Linked DNA regions of Rattus norvegicus. The protein of the gene in region 1 purifies or fractionates together with the protein of each later gene. This does not show direct contact. Links are inferred from orthologs where the notes say so. Each region holds a gene or a part of one and is shown in the gene's direction. Other genes may lie near its edges.

Region 1 (5,950 bases):
GAGGTCCAAACTATGAGGAGGGCCTCACTCCAACCCTCTTGTATTGCAGACCACCTCCACTCCTAACCTAGAGCTACAATAGTAAAATTGCCACCATATGAGTCATTACCCCTATCCAGTGCTCAGTCTACTTTTTGTCTGTAGAATTTTTCCTTTCCGCTGTACCAAACTATGAATTTCGGTGGATGCTCAAGCCATGTTAGCTAACACATACGTAGCTTCCTGACAGAATGTTATCATTTTTTTCTAGTGTTCCATGATGCCAGAAATGAAGCATCCACTGGAATAAAAAAAATCAGTCTTCTATATCTCTTGGCTGAACAACTCATGTCACAGATTATACTTTTCCTCAAGAAAAACAAAGGCACTCCACATATGTGGTCCTTCGGGAGTTGAGGAGTTCTGAAACAGGACTCCCTGTATTGTTCTAACTGGTCTGGGACTCACTGTGGAGTACAAGCTAGCCTCAGACCTTCAGTCCTCCTGACTCAGCCTCCTGGGTAATAGGATTCCAGGCATGTACCGCTATCCCTGACAACATGCAGTATTTTTGGTTTTGGTTTTTTAAATCGTGGTCTTTTTGCCCTGAAATATCCTCTCTGATTGCTTTATAGGACACAGCCCTAAGCAAGAACCAAAGGTGGTGGGCTGCAGATTCTGAGCGTTCAAGATGCAGCCAGACATGTCCTTGGACAATATTAAAATGGCATCCGATGACCTGCTGGAGAGGAAAGACCTGGACAGCGGAGGCTTCGGGAAGGTGTCCTTGTGTTTCCACAGAACCCATGGATTTGTCATCCTGAAAAAAGTATACACGGGACCCAACCGCGCTGAGTGAGTCGGGAGCAGAAATGGGTTTCTGACTGCAGAAGGTAGTTGTCTCCAACTCTGTGGCTAAACACATAAAGTTTTAAATGAGGCTGACCTGCGGGGAGACTTGGCACACTGGCTTGATGAAGGGTGCCCATAACTCTTATTATTATGTTGGATGAGGACTTTGGAGTTAATTAAAAAGATATTAGTGCTTGATGGGAATGTGTGGGAAAGGCATCCCTGAAGACAGGAAGCTGGATAGTAAGGGAGGCCATGAGAAGAAGTCAGAGCCGTGGATACAGACACTGAAGCCTGGTACAAAAAGAGGCCAGTCCCATCATGGGAAATCCCAGCCACCCTGTGAGAGGCTGTAAAGGTGGAGGGCTTCTCTCCTCCTCAGGCTGGTTTGAGAGGGATGCCTGTCTTATTGTGTTTCCCAGTTCAGTCTCCATCAGGCCAGACCAGCGCTGAATTTTTCATTAATTGATTTGCTGCCATGAGTGCCCGGCTTCCAGTTCCTAAGACAAGGCAGGAGGGAGGGGTTTAGATGAAGAGAAGCCTCCCTGCCCCCCTAGGACCTGTCTGCCTGGAGGAGACCGGAACAGACCTGATTGTGACAAATGTTTGCAATATGGCTCGCACTGCAGGGACACTGGAGCTTCTTAGGCACCTGGGTAGAAGGGTTTGCCCTGCCCTGCTCAGCCCTGCTCAGCCTAGCTGCTCTCCTGCCCACAGGTACAATGAGGCTCTCTTGGAAGAGGGGAAGATGATGCACAGACTGAGACACGATCGAGTGGTGAAGCTACTGGGCATCATCATAGAGGAGGGGAATTACTCGCTGGTGATGGAGTACATGGAGCAGGGCAACCTGATGCACGTGCTGAAGACCAAGGTAGGTGGCACCTAAGGCAGTCAGTGCTAAAGTGTCAAGTGCTAGCTGCTCTTGGGGTTTCGTTTGTAGCTTTCCGGTTGGAAATTTGGGTTTGTGGTTTGGATATCTTTGCTTGCTTGCTTGCTCGCTCGCTTGCTTTCTGGCTTGCTTTCTTTCCTTACTTTTGTTCGTTCATTTGTTTGTTTGTTTGTTGGAGTTTTTGTTATTGTTGATTTCTGCAACTCGATATATAGACCACAGGCTGGCCTTGAACTCACAGAATTCCGCCTACCTCTGCCTCCTCAATGCTAGGATTAAAGGTGTTTGCCACCGCAGTTGGCTTCATTTGGATTTCTGTGCCTCTTCCAGCCTTGGGGATCGTCTCCCCCACTCAGGCCCCATTTATGTCTGTATTACCACTTGAGGTTCCCTCTTTGCTGACCCACCTAGTCTTTCTCCAATCCACAGTTGGCAGACGGACCTTCTTTCAGTAATACCCGGTCTGACAGAGATGCGTGTAAATGATAACAAATTTGAGTTCATTGATGAAAATGTCTATGTTGCAGATGACAGGTAGTAATTTACAAAAGCACGTGCACTGTCACTGACTATAAGAGAAAGAGGGGTATTCGCAATTGTAATCTTAGACCATTTAAGAAGTTGCTCTAGATTAAATCTAGAATATAAAACTCAGCAATATAAAATTTAAAATCAGGGAGAAGAGGAATTACGAAAACTAGGTAATTGTTTAAAGTTCCTGTATGGATTAGGATCTGAGTCTTGTGCTAGTTCTTCAGGAGCCCATAGCTGATACAACACCGGCAAGCACAAGACGCAGAAGAAGCAATGGAGCATCTGATGTTATGGTGTCTGATAGGCACACAGTTGCCTGCTGCAGAACACGGGCGAGGTGCCCCGTCCAATCTGAGCTAAGTGGGACAGGATTCCCGAAGGACAAGTTGAAGCACATAACTAAGGAGCAAACGTTCCAGGCACAGAGATGACATGTGGGAAGGAATTAGGGGATGACAGTTTGTAGAACTGCCAGTCACCAACTTTCGCCAGAGCACAGATTGCATGTAAGGGACAGAAACATTTAGCTGCCTTTGTACCAAATATTTCCCCTCCCTCCATCTCCCCACACCTTACAAATGTCAAATCAGCAGATCTCAGAAACGCAAACATGGTGGGAAGGATAAAAGATGATACACATGGCATTGTAAGCATGTGTATCATTGTAAGGTAAGATTAGCCATGTGACAGAAGTAGGCATTTAGATCCAGAGATGAGTCATCTGTGAGGAAAGGCTTCGGTGGGTCAGCCAATAATAAGCTTCACAAGATAGGGACAAGAAGAGTCAAGGACCCAAGAGAACCAGGAAGAGGTTAGGTAGGGAACAATCATACCTCCTAATAAGGCTTTCCTGAACATATATAGATGAAGACAGGAACAGTCTCTGCTGCTGTTTTTAATTAATCAATTAATTTTTGCAAGCAAGGGCAATGAGAATGCTGCTCTCAAACGTTTAGATCCTTTTGCCTCAGCCTCCTTAGTATCTGGGACGACAGGTGTGTACCACCAGATCCAGCCTTCTGCTCTCTTTTATACTGTGGAAGTCAAGCGCTGATGCTGTGGTTCAGTTTCAGCGTGGATAAATATGGTGTGAAGGCTGTGGTTTGGTATGACTTGGGAATCTAAGCTCCACCCCCTTGACCTTTTCACCTGTAAACCATTAACAGACACTTAAAAGTTTTTAAGAGTCATTCATTCTGTAAGCTGGTCTTAGTATTGAGAAAAACTGAAATGATACTACTAAAACAGAAACATGCATTTCTTAAATAATATATTGAGGTTGATATAATTAGAGTATAATTTTAAGAGTGACCTAAGATTCTACAAAGATCTGCCAGGTCACCACATAAATACTACATGGTATCATGCATATGGCCCAGATGCTTATGTGGTAGTTGGCACTGTTAACATGCTTCCCCGAATTCCATTTCTCTCTGTGCCATTTCACATTCCCATTTCCCTGATGTTGTTATTCCTATGTAAATGCCAGTGTCATTTCACAACAGTATGCCGTGGAAATGTTTGTAGGTTTGCTGTTTATTCAGATATTCTAAACATTACTTTAGCTATACGGAGGCAATCTTTGGAATAGCAGGAGAATTAGAAGTAATAGTAACAAAAATAATAAATGTCATTGTTTAAAGGGATTTGGCTTCATGGTTTTTTAAACATGAGTTTTTATTACATAATGTACTAAATTATGTCATAGAATACCAAGTAGTCCCAGGTTATTCTATTATAAAGTATTTACTTATTTTTTTAAATATATTTCATCATTTTCTCCTTCCCTTTCCTCCCTCCAACACCTCCCATGTACCCCTCTCAATTGCTTTCTCTCAAATTCATGGCTTCTTCTTATGGTATTTTTATATGCATGTAGATTGGCACAGAATTTATTTCTATTTTTTCACTAAACAAAATATAGCAGTAGTATTTGGCTATCCTGTAGGCCCTGGGGTAGGGTCTTTCTTGAAGGAGCTTGTTTCCCAGGGACAGCAGTGCTATGGACCACATGGTGGGAGGAACCTGCTAACACTAACCTTGGGCCCTCATCCCATCGGCATGGATGGAGAAGTTGTTCTTGCCTGTTAGATTACCTCTCCATTACTTCATAGACCTAATGTGTCATTTCATTAGGAAAGTGTCCCACTTTCTGTGAAAGGAAGGATAATCGTGGAGATCATAGAAGGCATGCACTACTTACATGACGAAGGTGTAATACACAAGGACCTGAAGCCTGAAAATATCCTCGTTGACCGTGACTTTCACATTAAGGTAATCCACAGTCTGTACACGTTGAGAAGGCTGAGTGATTGTAGTCTGATTTTCCACTAGAAACCCATTGCTATAGTTGATCATGATAAAAGAGGACCTAGCTCAGCACGGAGCACGGTGCTGCTTGCAAGGCTAGCATAGTACAAGGTGTGGGCTTGACTGGATTGAAGGATACGATGAAAAAGATCTCATCCCTGGTTCCTGGGTTTTGTTTCCCTCTGATTAGATTTGGAAATGGAAACACTGAAGGGTTGCTACCTTCCCTCTGGAATGGGCTATCTGCTCATCATCTTTCCCAGGAAATCTTGTGACTGAGACTTCTCCACCCTGGAGAGAAAGGGAGTATAGAAGTGTGTGGAGACTATTCTTAAAATTCAGAAAAGGCTTAAAAGCAGTAGTAAGTCAACCATTTTGGCCTCAGAATCCTCCACTTTGTGGACCAAGGGGCATAGTTCAGTGGAGAAAACTAGTCTCGCACATCTTTGGTCCTAGACTCAGTCCTGGCTCTCCAAGACAAAGACTTCTGCTTTGACATCCTGTTTATGTCTATTTTCATTTAAGGAGTCAATTTACTTTTGAAAATTCTTTTTATCATAGCAGAGGTAATAAGGAAAATGCAGCCTATTCAGGAGCTACATGTAACTGAGGAAGCAACAGCACACATAATTAGTCTTGGTAGCTAGAATCCAAGCTGGAGACCTGAAGGGGGACCAGATAGCTCAGGGCCAGAGTTCTGGGTTTCATCCCCACACCTACACCAACAAGAAACAAAAAGATCCTGAAAACATTTAGCACTGGGGAAGAACCAGGACCTGCCTACAAGATCCGCATCAGACGCCATTCATGTCTCAGACGGCTGTTAATCCCAACGTCTTTTTTTCTTTCAATTAAGAACTTATCCTTTGTGTTCTGGGTTAAAATCTGTGCATTTCATGTAGGCACATGCTCTATCTAGCTCCTCCCTAAATGCTTCTTAGAGGCAGAAGAGGACCACCTCCTTGGATTGTCCCGTAACTGTCCTCCTCTGCCATTTCCCCTTGCCACTTTATTCTTTGCTGCGTCTGACTTGGTTATCTTTTTCTCTGCCTTTATGTGTGTTTCGATTTCCTTCTCTCCATCCTGTCTTCTCTTAGGTGCAAACTGCCAACACAAAACAAGTAGCAGCAACAGTCCCACCCTCAGGGTGGCTTTGGGATGCTCAGAGAAACAACCACGGTCCTCTGGATGTTATTGGGCAAATGAAAGGTGTGGTAACCAGTCTCTGTCTTCCCCAGAAAAGACCAAAACAAAAAAAAAAAATATGCAAAGTAAATGAGAAATTAGCACAAACACAGTTTTGTTGTCTTGCCCCAGTGTTATTGGTTAAGAATTGAGATGCCAAGGCCCCAGCAAGATAGCTCAGCTAGTAAAGATACTTTG
Region 2 (5,950 bases), on another chromosome or scaffold:
GAGAATGACAAATGCTTCAGGAAAGATGAGCGAGCTGTTAACGCACACAAGCAACAGTGCGGCTGAGTCTCAGGGGCAGAATGCACGAAAGAAGCCAGCCTCTCTCTCGGGGCTGCACACCACACGCTTTGACACATGCCATTCTTAAAAAGGCAAAAAACCACAGGATGGAGAGCAGGCCAATGCAGCAGGCCTGGGTGGGTGGAGCAACTCCCAAGGACTTCAGCAGGGCGCTCTGTGTCCTGTGAAGGTACCAGCATGATTGCATACCCAAAGACATCGATTTTACTACATGAACATTCAAAATAAAACTCCTACACCCTGCAGTAGTAGCTCCAAAAGCTTTGAAATCGATGTGTGTGGCATAAAAGCAATTATAATTGGGAGGCATGTCTATCTAGCGACTTTCATTGCCATGTAAATAAGCAGATGAAATTTGCAACAGAAGGTAGCCGGAGACTTTCCATAGCTGATTGGAGCAGCCAGCTGCAGTGGTGTTATGCTCCCCCACCTATTTTTTTTTTTCAGGACGGTGTCTCTGTGTAGCCCTGGCTGTCTGGAACTCAGCTCCACCTGCCTCTCCCTCCCAAGGGCTGGGATTAAAGGCGAGTGCCGCCACTGCCACCGCCACCCGGCTGTTTTACATCTTTTTTTTTTTTTTTTTTTTTTTTTTAAAGATCATTACTGTTAACTTGTAAGAAGTTGCAGCTGGTGGTCATAATTGTTTAATATTTCAATAAAACTTTCCAACTTCTCCTTCTTTTCAGAGTACTTTTACTTTATCCATGTGTTTTTGCCTGCACGTATGTATGTGTACCACATACAGCTCTGACACCCGTCTTGAACAGGCGCTTGCAGGACATTTGAGATGGCCTCCCAGTGGGTGTTTTGTCTTTGATACTATGTTCTCACAGGCTAGGCTTGCATATGCAAGGTGCTTTGGGGAACCTCCAGGACACTGGCTGGGTCCTCAGGTTCATCCTTCCCAAGATACGGGATAGAAAACATGTAATTGAAGCCCCACACAAGACCAGCTTCCCTGTCTGCCAGAAGATCTACATCTCAAAGAAGTGGGGTCTTACCATGTTTAATGCCTATGAGCATGACGTGCTGAGAAGGAGCCTGCCCCAGCGGCTATGGGATCAGATAGTCCTGAGTCGTGCAGCCAGGAGGACATCCATTGCACTGTATCTTATCACTGCATCATGCTTACATAAGGCTTACGTTCCAAGAGAAAATGTTGATGCCTAGGGGCCGCCTCCAGGAACCTTACAAAATTAAGAAGAATTGGGGTATTTAAGCCAAGACTTGGACGTGTGTGAGTGTGCATGTCCGCATGCATAGGTGTGTGTAAATCTCAGCAGTGATTAAGCAAAACATACTGGTTTGAGATCCAAATCTGATGGGAAAGGGTGAGTGCGGTAAGAGAGATGGAATCAGGGTGCGGTATGAATACACAAGGCAGTGACCCCGAGTTGACAGTCCCAGAAAGCTTGCCCAACAAAAAAAGGGGGGTGCACAGGACTTCAAGCTGCAGCTTGAAGGAGACAGGACACAGTGAAGGCCTCCAACTGGGGAGTATGACAGACTGACTCGCAGGCTGGAGTTTCTGAAGGCCAGGGCGAAGCTACCTTCCTGAGAACGTGTGCGGGAAGCTGTTTATAGCACAGACAGCGCAAGCTGCACACGGGTCAGGCATTGTGTGGTGGGGCATGCAGTCCACAGTTGGAAGCAGCACCCAAAGATTCCTTTATGCTGTCCAATGAGGACCTCTGTGGAGAAGTTTCCTGTAAGTTGGGCTTATTCGTGTGTTACAGTAGCGTCGCTTGCTCTCTTTTCTAAGTAGCCAAGTCCCCACTTGGGAATGCCGTAGTTTTCAGGTTCCCCAGGGAGCCAGTTTGTGGATGCATCATAAAAACAGGAAAGACTTTTGTCAGTGTCCCTTCAGACACACATTATTTCCCAGACGTAACCATCTTGTGGCCTGCAGGCCTGCCTTTGCCCCTGTTGTAGAAGCAGGCGCAGTGGGATCTGAGGGAAGAAGGTGGTTTTCAGTTTCCTGATGCTTCCCAGGAGCAGCAGCCAAGCTGGACAGATGACCTGCCACTCTGTCACTTCTCCGGCGTTGGTTCAGCTTCCAACCGTAGCTACTCTGCTGATGGCAAGGGCACTGAGAGTCACCCTCCGGAGGACAACTGGCTCAAGTTCAGGTAGGTGGGTGGGCTGAGCAGAGGAAGTCAGTTCATGAGCAAGAAGATACTGTCCTGCTACCTGCATGTATGAGGCTTGCCTGTGCAGTAGGGCCCATGGGAAGTGTCGACTGCTGTGGGACAGGGGTGGACGAGGCTGGCAGGGAAGATTCCTGGTGAGATGATGGACCCAGTGCAGGGTCCCAGATGTGTGCCTGAAACCTTTCCTGTCTTTAGTCCCTCCCCAATTCCTTTCCTTCTTCCTCTACCACCTGCATGCCCCTGGTTTCAGCCCTCCCCCTCCACCCTCCCTCTGCTAGAAGTGAAAACAACTGCTTCCTGTATGGGGTCTTCAATGGCTATGATGGCAACCGCGTGACCAACTTTGTGGCGCAGAGACTCTCTGCAGAGCTCCTGCTGGGCCAGCTCAACACCGAACACACAGATGCTGATGTGCGACGGGTCCTGCTGCAGGTAAGAGGATTGGGCTAGGTGACAACAGCCTGACTGACTCGTGTGTCCTCCACTCCCTGGAACTTGGGCCCTGCATCTGTAAGTGTAGACAGGCTGATCTGAAGACTGCCTGCTTCTTCATCCCCTACCAAGATCATTTCTGGGTACACTTCATGGTGGCAGGGGCTCCTGGCCACAAGGAGTCCAGGACAGGCAGGGAGCAGCAGCTTTTCCATTGGTAGCAGGACTGACTTGGGAGAAGGCAGCACTGGGAACAGAGGCTCTGTGTAGAGATAGATACCTTTGTTTGAGATTTCTTTATTTCTTCTACCTAGGAAGGTTTCTTGGTCTTTGAGAAATTGGCCCTAGATTTTTTCTGTTCTCTGTGGTCTCAGTGCTTCTAGACTGGAGCTCTGCAGAGGCTAGACCAGGAGGAAGCTTTCTGCTTCACCAGTGTCCAGCCAGTCCTGATCAAGGCCCGAGGTTGTCATGCCCCTACAGACTCAGTGACCAAGCACTCCTGGACTGTCTCACTTCACATGAACCCAAATGTGGAGCACTGCTGTTCACACCCAACACTCTTGAGCGCAGGGCCTGGCCCTTTCTCTCTCATTCCTTGCAGGCTGCATAAGTAGCAACCTTTTCCCGTCCCACAGGTAAAGGTCTTTGTCAAACAGTGGACAGAAAGGCACACATATGAGGCAGAAATGATATGTCACCTGTCACACGAGGCCATCCATGAATGCCATGGATCTGTTACTCTCCATAGGGACATCTTAACAGGAGGTGATGGCGTTATTTGAGCCAACCCTTGCCTTGCCCTGTGTCTCTTCAGGCCTTCGATGTGGTGGAGAGGAGCTTCCTGGAGTCTATCGATGATGCCTTGGCTGAGAAAGCAAGCCTCCAGTCCCAGCTGCCGGAGGTAACCGACTGTCTGTACTAGTACTGCTGGGTGCCAGCACTCACCTCTGTATCACTTGCCACCCACAGGCACAGTAAGGCCTGCAGCAGGAATCATGAGGCAGCATCCTGATGGGCAGGCTGGGGTGGCACTGGGTATGTCCCTGTAGAGACTCCAGCCCAGCAGTGGGCAGCTTTTCTCGGAGGCTCATCCTTAGATGGCAGGATAGGTGGAAGGAAAGGCCTGTCCAGGTTCTGTGATCTGGTTCAGTCCAGAGCCAGGGTCACCTTCAGGCTGCCCCTAGTTAAAGCAACAGTGACCTTCCCAGGGCAGCCTACAGGTATCCAGCCTGGCCACACCTATGGTCATCTGTCTGTCTTGGCTGCTCAAGGGCCTTGTATACTTTATCTAAAGGGAAAGAGAGGATGGTAAGGTGGTACTCAAGCCCCCATGATGCTCTGATCTCTTGATGATGGTTTGCAGGGTGTGCCCCAACACCAGCTGCTACCTCAGTATCAGAAGATCCTGGAGAGACTCAAGGCACTGGAGAAGGAGATCTCGGGAGGGGCCATGGCTGTTGTGGCGGTCCTTCTCAACAACAAGCTCTACGTTGCCAATGTTGGTGAGCTACCAACCTGCCCCATACCAGTCTGCTTTCTGTCTGTGCGTACCCCAAGCTTCCCAGGGTGACTTGGGCCTGTTCCTCATTCTGTTGTCTATGTCAATCCAGGTAGAAGGACAGCAGTAGGCAGGTGGGTGTCCTGGCTCGTGATGAGTTAGTTGTGTCTGTCCTTTTGTCTTTAAATTATTTTAGGTGTATAGGTGTTTTACCTACACGTATTGTCTCTACCACATGTGTGCCTGGTGCTTGCAGAGGCATCTGACTCCCTGGTACTGGAGTTCAGACTGTTGTGGGCCACCACATGGGTCCTGGGAATAGAACTGTGTCCTCTGGAGGAGCAGCCAGTGCTCTTAACTGCTGGGCCATCTGGGGGAGGGGGTGTGTGTCTCTGCATACAGTAGGGCTGGCATGTGAGGCAAGAAGAAAATCCAACTCAACATGATTTAGTAGCTGCTGTTGATTCAGACATTTAGAGCAGCAGTTCTCAACCCCTTTGGGGGTCAAATGACCTTTTCACAGGGGTCACCTAAGACCATCGGAAAACATGGATGTTTTTTTGTTTTGTTTTGTTTTTTTCTTTTCTTTTTTTCGGAGCTGGGGACTAAACCCAGGGCCTTGCGCTTGCTAGACAAGCGCTCTATCACTGAGCTAAATCCTCAACCCCAACATGGATGTTTATATTATGACTCATAACAGTCGCAAAATCACAGTTATGAGGTAGCAACAAAAATACTTTTATGGTTGGGGGTCACCACAGAGGAACTGTGTTAAAGAGTAGGAGCATTAGGAAGGTTGAGACCCAGTGGGCTAGAGTCTGACAGACAGTAGGCAGTTTATTTTAGTCAGAGTACAATTTGGAATAAGTTCCAGGTATCACATAGTTTTATGGGTGCCATAAGACATAATTACATCAAGACTCTTACTTCTTTTCCTTTCCTTTCCTTTTTTTTTTTCCTTTTTTTCTTATGTTTTTCTTCTTAGAATGTTACTTGCTTAACTCAGAATGTAGTACCAATGAAATGGTGACAGCTTTGCCAATAACAAGAACATGCTCTTCCATGGCTAGGAAGGGAAACTGCCACAGGCGGCAGGTCCCAAAGATACATGGATTCCTTTCCCTTTTTTTTTTTTTTTTTTTTGGTTCTTTTTTTTTTTTTTCCGGAGCTGGGGACCGAACCCAGGGCCTTGCGCTTCCTAGGCAAGCGCTCTACCACTGAGCTAAATCCCCAACCCCCTCCTTTCCTTTTTTGAGACAGGGTTTCTCTCCATAGCTCTGCCTGTCTAGGAACTCACTCTTTCGATCAGGCTGGCCATGAAGTTGCAGAGATCCCTCCCACTGCCTCCTGAGTGCTGGGTTTAAAGGCCTGCACCATACACAGTGAAACCCTTCAAAGTACACGTCACTTCTATAAATAGATAAGTACATGTGTTAAGATCTTCAGGCCTTACAGGAGGATCTGGTGTGATCTTGGTCATACAGATAGCACAGAGGTCACCTAGGCTGTTAACACCTCTGTTCCCAGGCCTGTGGGTGAAAAGCAGCTTATGTAACTCTCCCTTTGAAGAGACAGCCCTGCGTGTTCAACATCCCATGTTTGCCTAGTTTATCTGTGGGCCCAGTATCTGCAGCCCCATGGCTGCTTCTTTAGAAGGCCAATTTGCTTGCAGTGAAGACCTGCTCTGAATTCTTAAAAACAGCAGGAAGCTGGATGATGGGGACATTTGTATTTAAGACCAAAGGAGGGGCCATCAGGGGACCCAAGAACGTGTGTGATACATGTCACT
Region 3 (5,950 bases), on another chromosome or scaffold:
ACTATATCTTAACTCTTTTCCCCTAAGTTGAAACAATGTCAAGTTTGAGATTCTCCTGCTGCTTCGACCTCAAGTGTAGGGATTACAGGAATGTGCCAACCTGGTATATCTCCCCCCCACCCCCTCGGAGCTGAGGCCTTGCGCTTGCTACCACTGAGCTAAATCCCCAACCCCAACTTGGTACATCTTTGTTTATTTTGTTTTTTCTTATTTTTTTTTTTTCGGAGCTGGGGACTGAACCCAGGGCCTTGTGCTTGCTAGACAAGCGCTCTACCACTGAGCCAAATCCCCAACCCCCCAACTTGGTACATCTTAATTCCTTGATAATTTAGTTGTCCTGTGTCTCTGAGACATTTTCCCCTCAAGTATTTTGTGATTCAGTGGGCAAGTCTGGGCTTTGGAAAGTACTATGTAACATTGTGTGGGTTACTTTGCAGACTTTGTAATTTTCTCCTGGAAAATCCAGATTATCCAAAGAGAGAAGACCGAATCCTTATCCACCCCAGCAGTAGCCTGCTTGCCAGCCAGGATGATGTGAAGGCAAGTATTCCTGTGGCTTTGCCACTTGGATCTGTTCTGCTCTGTTGCTGCTTTCCGGGTCATCCTGCTGACAGCAAGAGGTGCTGTTAACACAGGGCTTTACAGGCAAGCAGGAAAAATAACATTTCATAATGTTTGCAGACTCCCTGAAGGCTCCTTTTTGAAATCTTTCCATTCCCATAAAGAATTAAGCAAATTCTTGTGCCTTTAATTCTGCAGAGCAAGTTAAGGGAAAAGAATTAGCCAGTATTATTTGTGTTGTTCTAATAGTTTGTTTTTCTTAATGCTTTATAATTGTGGATTTATATAAAAGTTGAATGCTTCACGTGAATTGTTGGTGTACTACTCTATTGTACTGCTGTCTGTTACTGCTGTTCCTTAGAATGTTTCCATCCTAAATTGCAAAAACAACCACTTCCCTGCAAATACTTCAGCATGCACGTAGCCATTCTTTTTTTAAGATTTATTATGTACAGGTGTTTTGCCTGCACATGTGCCTACATGCCAGAAGAGGACGCTAGATCTCACTTTTGATGGTTGTGAAGCCACCATGTGGTTGCTGGGAACTGCTCTCAACCTCTGAGCCTTCCCTCCAGCCCATAGATAGCCATTCTTAAAAGATTTGTGTTCAACCCATTTAGCCAAATCTCATATCAAGATGTCAAAAGTTTCAAAACTTTAATATTTAGTCAATAATTGTGATCTACCACTAATGTTGAGTGTGTTATGTGGTTAAAAAACCCCACCCCAGATGATTCTTTTTTTTTTTTTTTTTTTTTTTCTTTAGAGCTGAGGACTGAACCCAGGTCCTTGTGCTTGTTAGGCAAGCGCTCTACCAGTGAGCTAAATCCCCAACCACACCCCCCCCTCCCCATGATTCTTAATGTTTAATTTCTGCTGGCTTTGCACTGACCAAAACAACTGTCGCCAACACCCACCCCTGCCTCATTGCCTCAGCCTTCTAGTGCAGAATTAACAGATAATGTACTTTTTCTTCATTTTTGTTTTAGTCTGGTCACCCTACAAAGTAATTATGAGCCCAGGCAAGAGTCTTTTTTGTAATATGTACTGTTTTAAAGATTTGGTTGGTTGATTGGTTGCTTTGCTTTTTCTAACGGAGTTTCTCCGTGTAGCCCTGGCTGTCTTAGAACAAGGTCTGGAGACCAGGCTGGCCCAACTCAGATAGACCTACTTGCCTTTGTCTCCTGAGTGCTGGGATTAAAGATGTGTGCCGTCAGTGCCCATCTTATTTGTTATTCTTTGTTGGGTAGGGAATGAGTTTGTGTGCACCATGGTGTGCATGCTGGTCCGTGGGGACCAGAAGACAGCCTTGTAGTCTCTGAAACTGTGGTTTTAGGTAGCTGTGAGTTGCCGAAGGTGTGTTGTAGGAACCAAACCCGGCTTCTCTGGAAAAACAGCAAATGTTCTTCACTGTTGAGGCCTTAGAGCCAGCCTCTGTCATCCCCCTCGTCCTCCTCTTGGATGAGTGTGCTATCTCACCTCTAACTTTATGCTTTTTGTCTCATTTCAGTTGCCTAAGATAGACTTTTTTGACTATTCCAAATTGACTCCACTTGACCAGCGCTGCTTCATCCAAGCTGCTGACCTCTTGATGGCTGATTTCAAGATGCTCAGCAGCCAGGACATCAAGTGGGCCCTGCACGAGCTCAAAGGGCATTACGCAATCACCCGAAAGGTAGGCCGTGGGCTTCCTTTTGGGCTCGTTCTTTGATTGTCCTGAAGAGACGGGAGAGCTATAGATTACAGAGGTTGAGGTGGCTGTGGTGGCAGAAAGCTTCAGAGTTTGCCAGGGGAAGTAGGAGCTGGTTAGGAATCACTGAGTGAGAAGTGCCACCTAGAGCAGGAAACCTCAATCTCCAAAAGTCCCTTTGCGATGATATTTGTTCTGAGAAGAGCAGGGTGCCTGGAGTGTGACCCGTATCTGCCTGGTTCATAGTTTGTTCAGTTGTACCAAGCTCCAAGTTAAGGGCTTCTGGTTGGTTGGTAAGTCTTTTGTCTCTAGGTTCTCAGTGTCTCCTGCTTTCTTTTGTCTTGATCCTATAGGTTTCAAGAGTCCGGGTTTGTGTCATCTGTACCTCTAGGTGTTACTAGCTGGTTCCCGTGTCCTCAGCATTTTATCTAAAATTATAGATCTTACATGTGATAAACATAAGGGTCATTTTACTTCCCCCTGAGATTTGCACAGATGTCCACTGTACACTGAGCTTCAGTTTCTCGCAGTGTAGACAGGCTCTCTTGTAGATGAACTAGATAACAGGGTAAACCTGTGACCTGACTGGCGCTGCTCATGCAGTCTCAGTTCATTCTTGCCCTAGCATAACTTTATGTCTGTAATTCCAGTCCCAGAGGATCTGGCACCCTCCTCTGGCCTCTTTGGGTACTGCATGTGCATGGTGCACAAACATGCATGTAGGCAGAGCCCCCATACACATAACATAAAATAAAAATAAGCTTCTAAAAAAATCAACTATGGCTTAAATGCCTGCATGCAGTTTTAACATGGCAGGTTGGGGCTGTGTCTGCTCTCTGAGGCAGCTAAATTCTTTGATCTGCTTTGTCGAATTTGCCATCATGGTTTGAGCACAGGCTTATATTTAATCAATCATCTTGAAACCTGTTTTCAGTTCTCTCATTGTGGTAAGAGCCCTTACACACATGCACATCTCTCTCTCTGACAGTCTTGCTGTGTAGCCTGGAGAGTGTTTAGACTGACTGGTCTTGATTTCCTCTGCTTACCTCCCCAGTGCTGGCAGTAAAGGAGTACACCACCTCACCCTGCTTGCTTTTGGAGAGGGCGGTCTCACTGTGTAGCTCTGGCTTGCCTGAAATTAGCTTGTAGGCCAGGCTGGCCTCAAACAGATTCTCCTGCCACCACCTCTGAAGTGCTGGAATTAAACCTGGCTCGCACACCCTCTTTTATACGTGTACTTTTTGGAGAATCTCTGTTTTCAGGATTTACTTTGGGAATGGAATACATTTGTTGTTCAGGTAAACAATGTACTCTTTTCCGGTGCTTTCTTTCTTGAGTGGTGTAGGGGATTTTGTAGTTAAATTCAGAATGGCAGCAAGCTAGATGCATTCTTCAGGAAGTTCAGAGGCAAGAGGGCAAAAGCCAGTAGCTTTTCCCTTGGGCCAGTTCTGGAAGGCACTACCCACTACAGGGAGTCTCAGTTAATTCCTCCCAGAAATTCCTCTAGGAAATACTCTTCTCTGTCTGTGCAGAGGCTTTGTTGTTCTTGTCGTCATTGTTTCTAGATTCATCCAAGATTGGCATGACACCTGTCTTGGTTTGCATGCTCAGGCCTAGGAACTTCAACCAGCTTGAAATTTTGATTTTCTTTCTCTCTCTCTCTCTCTCTCTCTCTTTTTTTTTTTTTTGGTTATTCTGCTGTAATGTGACTATCTTGTTCAGTTTCTTCATTGCCTGCCCTAGCTCGTGCACCAGGAATATCAAATGAACATTTAAACCCTCTAGTGGAGCAGGCCATCTTTTAATCTATTCTATAGTCAGTCTCTCTCTAGGTGTCCACTTCCCCAGGCTTCATAGACTTCCACCATGTGGCTTTAGTGGTCATCTTGAATGGGGCATGTCCCCACCTTTACCTCTCCTCTCTACAAGCTTTCTTTCTGTCCCTGGGTCTTCAAGGCATCGTCATGCCTAGTGTCCCATTCCTCATACTCATTCATTCTTATTCTCTCCCCCCCAACCCCCCTCTCTTGGCAGAGTCCTGCTGTGTAACCTCCATTAGATTGAATCTCATCATCCTCCTGCCTTAGCAGCCCTTGGCCCCCAAGTGCTGAAAATATAGGTGTACACCCCTTCTTCGTATCTCTCTCTTGTTTTTCTTTTTCTTCTTTTTTTCCCCTTTTAGGTCTTCTAGGTATCTCTTAGGGCAACTTTGGCCCTTGTTTTAGATGTCTTAAAAACCTTACCAGACTGACTGCTTTAGAACTGTCACAAGCAGATGTTTAATTTATACATGTAAGTAAATTCAGGGAAAGGATTAGACAGCTAAAAGAATATTATTTTTGAGCTCCTGTTGTTCCTAGCAAGTCTTTTTAATCCTTATTTACGCGTGCACCAACCAGGCTGCTCCTTAAGATCTGAGCCTCAGTGGAGCAGGAAGATAGTGTAAAAGTGGAACTCAGTGGGAAACTGGTGGCCTGCCTTGCACAAGTCCTATGTTCATCCACAGCACTATTGAACAAGGAAGGAAGGAAGAAAAGAAAATAGGACACAGATTAGCTTTCTTCCAAAGAGCTTTTAGTCTGTTTGGGTACACAGTGTGGTAAGTGCTCTCAAGGCAAGTAAGAGACCTGGAAAGAAGAAAGGTCACTTAGAGCAGAGCCTTGATAGAAAGATACTTTCACCACAGCCCAAGAGGCAGGAAAGAAACCTATGTGCCCTGGTGCACACTGGTCACAAGGCAATCTGATTACATCTGGTCTGTAAACTAGGCATTTGGCCAAGTGTAATAGAAGTGCTGGTTTCTAATACAACTGTTCAAGTGAGAATTTGGAGACTCCTTTAACTAACAGCACAACATTTTAAAAGGTAATGGTTTCCCGACAAGTACTGAATGTTCATTTTAAGTGAGACTTTCTCACTGCTATGGAGAACAATCTGCTTAGGGCTCCAGGCTGGAGCTTCTCCCTCTCTTCAATACCAAGCCAGTGAACCACTATTCAGGATCTCTGAGCTCACCTTCTGAATAGCACCTCTGCTTTAATGGCTGAATCATTAATAATAAAAAAAAAAAGTATATGAGTATTTTACCTACATATGTGTCTGTGCACCACATCCTTGCCTGGTGCCTGGGGAGGTCAGAAGAAGGTGTCAGTTGTAAGCCTGCATCTGGGTGCTGTACATCACATCCTGGTCCTCTAAGAAGAGCCATTGTTCTTAACTGCTAAGGCATCTTTCTAACACCTGAGCACTAAGTCATGACTTTAAGATTGGTTCATTCGGTTTGGAGATTCCAGAAAGAAGAAAGGGGAAATTCCACACCCAAAGGAGAGCAGAAAGGAAGCATGATGGGCGTCACCCTTAGCAGGCTTTGGGGTCTCCAGATTTGTATGAGGCGGCATTGTCAAAGAAGGGAGCATCAATTCTAGACTGTACTGTCGGCAAATCTAGCCTTTTTGAGGTTTGACTTGGGCTAGCCCTTCCACTAGAAACCTATGCAACATTTCTTCCAGAGGCTCACAGTTTGGTAGAAGAAATAACGTGAAGCAGAGAAGCAAGCAAATAGTTATGCTCTCATGACTGAGATGTCCTCTGAAAGAAGAAAATACAGTCTGTTTCTAGAGGGCCTCACAGCAGGCATAGAAGAATGTAGCATGGCTAGAGGGAGGAAAACTGGAAAAAAAAAAAAAAACAACCCAGGTT
Region 4 (5,950 bases), on another chromosome or scaffold:
ACTGAAGAGCTGCAGACCAGACTCTAGGTTTGCATCCTTGCAGCCTGTTTCCAATCAGATCGAAAGGTGTAACTCTTTAGGTACTTGGATACTTTTCATTTATTTACCCATCCAGAATGACTGTTTCATGCTGCTTTTCAGTATCTGAGGATAATAGTATTTAAATGATTTTCTCGCCATTGGTTAGTAAAGATTGTAACATGGTAGCATGGTGCATAAGAAGTTGTCCTAAGAGGAGATACATTAAAAAAAAAGTGTTGACGTAGACAGCGCTCCCTGCCCGGTAACGTAACGTAATGTAACGTAACGTAACGTAAGTTCAGTTCTCGCGCGAGTTGTACTTCCGCCCTTTTGGCACCATGGCAGTTAGGAAGAACCAGCACCCGACGAAAGGTGGCAAGAAGGGAGCTAAGAAGAAAGTGGTTGATCCATTCTCTAAGAAAGACTGGTATGATGTGAAAGCTCCAGCAATGTTCAATATTAGGAGCATCCGGAAAACACTAGTCACGAGGACTCAAGGAGCCAAAACTGCACCTGATGGCCTCGAGGGCCGTGTGTTTGAAGGGAGACTTGCCGATCTACAGAATGACGAAGATTCATTTAGAAAAGTCAAGCTAAATACTGAGGACGTTCAGGGCAAGAACTTCCATGGCATGGATCTTACCCGGGACAGAATGTGTTCCGTGGTCAAAAAGTGGCAGACCACCATGATTGAAGCTCTTGTTGATGTCAAGACGACCGATGGGTATTTGCTCCGACTGTTCTGTGTTGGTTTCACTAAAAAGTACAACAACCAGATTAGAAAGATATCCTATTCGCAGGTCTACCAGATCCAGAAGAAGATGATGGAAATCATGACCCGAGAAGTGCAGACAAATGACTTGAAGGAAGTAGTTAATAAACTGATTTTAGGCAGCATTGGGAAAGACATAGAGAAGGTTTGCCAGTCCATCCATCCTCTCCATGACGTCTTTGTTAGGAAAGTCAAAATGCTGAAGAAACCCAAGTTTGAATTGGGAAAACCCATGGAGCTCCATGGTGAAGGCGGTGGTTCTCACAAAACAACTGGTGAGGAGACAAGTGCTAAAGTTGAACGAGCTGATGGCTATGAACCACCAGTCCAGGAATCAGTTTAAACTCCAGATTTTTAATAGTGACAAATAAAAAGTCCTATTTGTGAAAAAAAAAAGTTAGTCAGGAAAAGTGTTTAGGATCTAAAGAAGGAAAAGTAGTGTTTTGTTTTTGTTCTCTTGTAGAGATTATAGACATTTAATTTCTGGCCATATGGGTAGTAGAAATGAAAATGTGGTCCTTAGTATTAACTCCCCGCTCACCATCTTATTAAGCACCTCATTCAGGGTAGCCTATGAAGATCTGATAAAGTCTGGGGACACAGCTTGATGGAGGATGACTCTTCATCACTTGTCATCAGCCGATGCTGGCCTTTCCCAGTTCTGGACAACAGAGTCAAGCAGGAGTAAATAGGGAAACCATCTTTATGAAAAACATTTTTTCTAAATGTTGAAGAGCAATATGGAAATTTTTGTTTTCATACTTGAAAATGAAACATTTTGGGCAAGTAACAAAGCATTTATTTGGCAGGTGCTTAATTCACTTACATTCTATGTTCTATATGAAGGAAGCAGTGTTGAAAGGGATAGCATTTTATATGCCCAGATAACTAACTTAACTAAAGGCTGAAAGACTTTGCATAGGATGTCACAATATGTTTGAAATGATGGTACATACATATGCAGTGCATTACATACACACACACACACAATCATGGTTTAAAATAATTATTTTCATTTATTTTTTCAGCATTTGGGGGCTACTTAAGTGAAGTAGTAGAAGAAAATACGCCACCTAAAATGGAAAAGGAAGGTTTAGAGATAATGATTGGAAAGAAGAAAGGCATCCAGGGCCATTACAATTCTTGTTACTTAGACTCAACTTTATTCTGGTAAGTTCATGTTCTCTGCAGTAGGCATAGATGGTGCTTCCTGGGGGAGGGATACAGTGTGTGTGTGTGTGAAAGGAGGTGCCTTTGAGTAGAGAAACTGGGAGTTAGGAAAGATCACAAGATTTGCTCCTTGGCAGCTAAAGAATTTCATATCTTATTTCAAGATTTAAAAAACTAATATAAAAATACTTCAGTAAGTAGTGAGTAAGAGCGCTGGTCCCTGTGAAGGATGCACCAAGGACATCTCCCTCCAGTGCAGTAGACTGCACATGAACGAGCTGAGTAGCTGCAGTCCACCCTTGGTACCGTGTATGCATGCTTTAGGACAGCCCGGTGATCATAGAAAGTCGTTATGTTAGAAGTTATTTCCCACGGGATCACTGTTGTCCTCCTTTGTGTTGTTTTCCCTAAAGTGGAGTGAATAATACAAGGAACATTAGGCTCTGAAGGTTGAACCCTGAATCCATGGCCTTAAGAATTGTGTACTGCCAGTTAAACTGGTGGCTCTGCCAGCTCTGCTCTGTAAGCTGTGTCACAAGAACAAGGCGGTTAGTGTGGATGGTAGAACCTCAGAGGTAGACAGCAGAATAAAGGCTATGGGCCGTCTTGTTGGTGGAATACTTTTGATTAAACAAATCTTATACTATTGCTATAATATTCTTTAGATTTCTGATAAAAAAATCTGTTTAAGCCAAATGTTATATTATATTCTTTCATACCAGTAAATTTCTGCTGCTGGTCACTCACAGGTTATTTTACAGAAGCACATGTCTCAGGAGAGCTAGATGTCTCTCTCTCTCTCTCTCTCTCTCTCTCTCTCACTCACACACACACACACACACACACACATATACACACACACACATACACACACACATGCACACACACATACACACATACACATACACACATACACACACATGCACACACATGCACACACACATACACACACACATGCACACACACATACACACACATACACACACACACACACACACACACACACACACACAGATTGATGGTCTGGAACTTCAGGATCTGTGAGTGCTCATGACTGAACACAGGCCTCTGCTGTCTGAGCCATGAATTCTTACACCCCTGCTCCCCTATACTCCTTTCTCTTTCTCTTCCGACTCCTTTAAGAATCTTTCTCAAATATCAATGTATTTATAGCATAAGGAAAATATTCTTTTATTTTGCAGCTTATTTGCTTTTAGTTCTGCCCTGGACACTGTATTACTTAGACCCAAAGAGAAGAATGATGTAGAGTATTACAGTGAGACTCAAGAGCTACTGAGGACAGAGATAGTCAATCCTCTGAGAATGTAAGGAAAGACGTTTTGTCTTTAGTTGGTGTTCTGTTTGCTGTTTTCTGTATAGTATTTTTTGCTATGTGCTCATATAGTAAAAAAAAAAAAGATGAACAGATTAATTTTTATGACCTATTGACTTTTAAAAACCTTTAGTCTTCTGCGTCTGTTTATCTCCTTGTATGTAATAGGTGTATTCTATGAAACGATGTGAATTGTTTGGTGTCATGTATTACAAGTTAGTGATAACACTGCACTGAGAGCAGATGAGGTGTATCATAGTAATATGGTGTTTGTCTAAAAGAATATATTTAGGTCTTCCTCTGCTCCTTTACGAATGTGCAGGAGACATGTTTGATATTTGACATTGGTGATTGATGTGTGATAACATCACAAGATGCTTAAGTGAAGAAGAGTTCAGTCATTCAGTGATCATGAAACAAATGGGTCAAGAAGACAGAACAAACTATGCAATTTAAAGGCCAATTATGATTAGTTTAAGTTTTGTGATATACTTTTCTTAACAATGAAAATAAAAATTAATATATTTAAAAAATAACAAAATATAGAAATAAAGGAATATTCCAAATGGCCTACTGTGTCACATAACTAAGAAAGTAAAAGAATAAATTTCTCTATTTGGATACTTGTTTTCCTCAAATTCTGTAATCATCTTACCCTTTAAAATAAATATGTGCTTTGATTTTCACATTAACTATTTTGTCTTCTGCAAATTTTAACTACTCAGATTTTTCTTTCACTATTTAAATGGAATTACCAGTACAGGTCAAAGCAATGACAAAGTGAATTATCACAGTCTTCCTTCTTTTTAAAACACTGTAATCCTTTCTGTAATGGATTTTCTGCAGTAGAGATTGTCAGCTGGCCTGTGAGATCAGGATGCGTTTTGCCAGACATAGTGGTAGACTACCCAGACATGGTGGTAGACTACCCAGACATGGTGGTAGACTATCCAGACAGACATGGTGGTAGACTACCCAGACAGACATGGTGGTAGACTACCCAGACATGGTGGTAGACTATCCAGACATGGTGGTAGACTATCCAGACATGGTGGTAGACTATCCAGACAGACATGGTGGTAGACTATCCAGACAGACATGGTGGTAGACTATCCAGACAGACATAGTGGTAGACTATCCAGACAGACATGGTGGTAGACTATCCACCTGTAATCCCAGCACTTGCTAGGTCAGAGGCTGAGGCAAGATCAGTTGAGCTGAGAAATCTGAGATCTATTTCCAATGTCTGCAAATTTACGTCTGCTGTTTGGATACATTGCTTTATTACAAGCTTCCCAGAAGCAGATTTTTTGTTGGTGGTGGTTTTTGTTTGTTTGTTTAATCTCCTTTTATATTCCCAGTGGCAAACACCTATTTTCATGAGTCGTAGGTATGTAGTGTATGCTGATTGGAAAGAGTTAACAAGTGAACGAATAGTCCTCTAAAAAGCAGGTACAGTTAGTGATCAGCCAGTGCTGACTTGCTCCATTAAGCCCATAGTCTCCTGTAGCCAAACAAGGAGAATTTCTTCTTAATTATGTTGACTGGTTTATTGCAGACTTAGATTTTTGGTATCTCATCAGTTTCCTTTTTCCATGTCTCTGTCCTACATATTCAAGTGACTTTTCTAAAATGTAAGTCATTCTCTTTTATAAAACAAGTATTTTAATAATAAGCAAATGTTACTAAAAACCATTCACCAAGACTTTAAAAATATTTTAGAGTTGTATTACTGCATGGTAGTTATTTTTAAGGTGTTTAATAGTATCTGGAAACAGTTCTGGTTCTCAGTCTTTCACTTTTCAAAGTTTAGTAAGAAGCCTTCAATTATGCTTGTAAAAATAACTGCCTAGTCTATTGATCTGTTTCACATGTTAGAATTGTATGAAAGTATTTGATTATTAAGATATGTCATATAATTCATTGTGCCAGTGTCAGTTAATTCATTTTTATCAACATAGATATGGATATGTGTGTGCCACAAAGATTATGAAGCTGAGGAAAATACTTGAAAAAGTTGAGGCTGCATCAGGATTTACCTCTGAGGAAAAAGGTGACTTTTCTAAGTTATGTGTTGAAAATAACTTGAAAGTATGTTACTAAGCAAGTATTTAAATTATTTCCTGAAATATGTCTGTTTTACTTTAGGATCAATCTTAAATTAGAATTATTTGAGAGGGCTGGGGATATATGTATCTCTGTGGTAACGTATGCAAAAGGCCCTGGGTTTGATTTCCAGCACTGCATAAATAAATGAAAAAATTATTTTCTGTGTGACATGCAAGTTTCTCCTGGTATTGTAAATGATTTTTCTCTTCCAAAGTGACTGTGATGTGTAGTAAAGAGCTTTCTAAGACGCTGGCTGGCCCTACAGTAGATGTCCCCTTGTGGTGAGCGATGTCCTGGGCCACTCCCAGTTTCCCACCCACGTTCCTTGTTGAACGGAGCTGTGGAATAGCTGGACAGCGTGTCTGTTTACTCACAACTGAAAAAGTTTTCAGATTCAACTTCTGACTTTGAGTTTTTTAACAGTGTTTGTAGACAGCTGTGATGATTATACACATGATAATTACTTAAATAGAAGGAAAAATTGGGTTTATTTTAGGTATTATTCTACTGAAACACCTTAAAAAACAAAAATTAAATTTCCTGTG

The links. Proteins that work in one complex are often made in the same cells at the same time.
Region 2: the proteins of Ripk1 (region 1) and Tab1 purify together in Homo sapiens (affinity purification with mass spectrometry; 3 studies listed by BioGRID and IntAct, with this or other methods). This does not show direct contact. The link is inferred for Rattus norvegicus from reciprocal best matches to the Homo sapiens genes RIPK1 and TAB1.
Region 3: the proteins of Ripk1 (region 1) and Rnf216 purify together in Homo sapiens (affinity purification with western blotting; 3 studies listed by BioGRID). This does not show direct contact. The link is inferred for Rattus norvegicus from reciprocal best matches to the Homo sapiens genes RIPK1 and RNF216.
Region 4: the proteins of Ripk1 (region 1) and Cyld purify together in Homo sapiens (affinity purification with western blotting; 5 studies listed by BioGRID). This does not show direct contact. The link is inferred for Rattus norvegicus from reciprocal best matches to the Homo sapiens genes RIPK1 and CYLD.

What each region holds. Positions count from the first base shown.
Region 1 is NC_086035.1:31,066,378-31,072,327, reverse strand, and holds part of Ripk1 (receptor-interacting serine/threonine-protein kinase 1), read left to right. Parts: intron 1-250; exon of another isoform or gene 251-515; intron 516-614; 5' UTR 615-670; coding exon 671-834; intron 835-1,548; coding exon 1,549-1,705; intron 1,706-4,393; coding exon 4,394-4,531; intron 4,532-5,664; exon of another isoform or gene 5,665-5,776; intron 5,777-5,950. UniProt on the Homo sapiens protein: Serine-threonine kinase which is a key regulator of TNF-mediated apoptosis, necroptosis and inflammatory pathways.
Region 2 is NC_086025.1:113,571,519-113,577,468, forward strand, and holds part of Tab1 (TGF-beta-activated kinase 1 and MAP3K7-binding protein 1), read left to right. Parts: intron 1-2,073; coding exon 2,074-2,210; intron 2,211-2,509; coding exon 2,510-2,663; intron 2,664-3,477; coding exon 3,478-3,564; intron 3,565-4,026; coding exon 4,027-4,165; intron 4,166-5,145; exon of another isoform or gene 5,146-5,275; intron 5,276-5,950. UniProt on the Homo sapiens protein: Key adapter protein that plays an essential role in JNK and NF-kappa-B activation and proinflammatory cytokines production in response to stimulation with TLRs and cytokines.
Region 3 is NC_086030.1:16,590,735-16,596,684, forward strand, and holds part of Rnf216 (E3 ubiquitin-protein ligase RNF216), read left to right. Parts: intron 1-437; coding exon 438-540; intron 541-2,071; coding exon 2,072-2,236; intron 2,237-5,950.
Region 4 is NC_086037.1:34,504,807-34,510,756, reverse strand, and holds part of Cyld (ubiquitin carboxyl-terminal hydrolase CYLD), read left to right. Parts: coding exon 1-80; intron 81-187; exon of another isoform or gene 188-359; coding exon of another isoform or gene 360-1,068; intron 1,069-1,821; coding exon 1,822-1,963; intron 1,964-3,165; coding exon 3,166-3,288; intron 3,289-5,257; coding exon 5,258-5,349; intron 5,350-5,950. UniProt on the Homo sapiens protein: Deubiquitinase that specifically cleaves 'Lys-63'- and linear 'Met-1'-linked polyubiquitin chains and is involved in NF-kappa-B activation and TNF-alpha-induced necroptosis.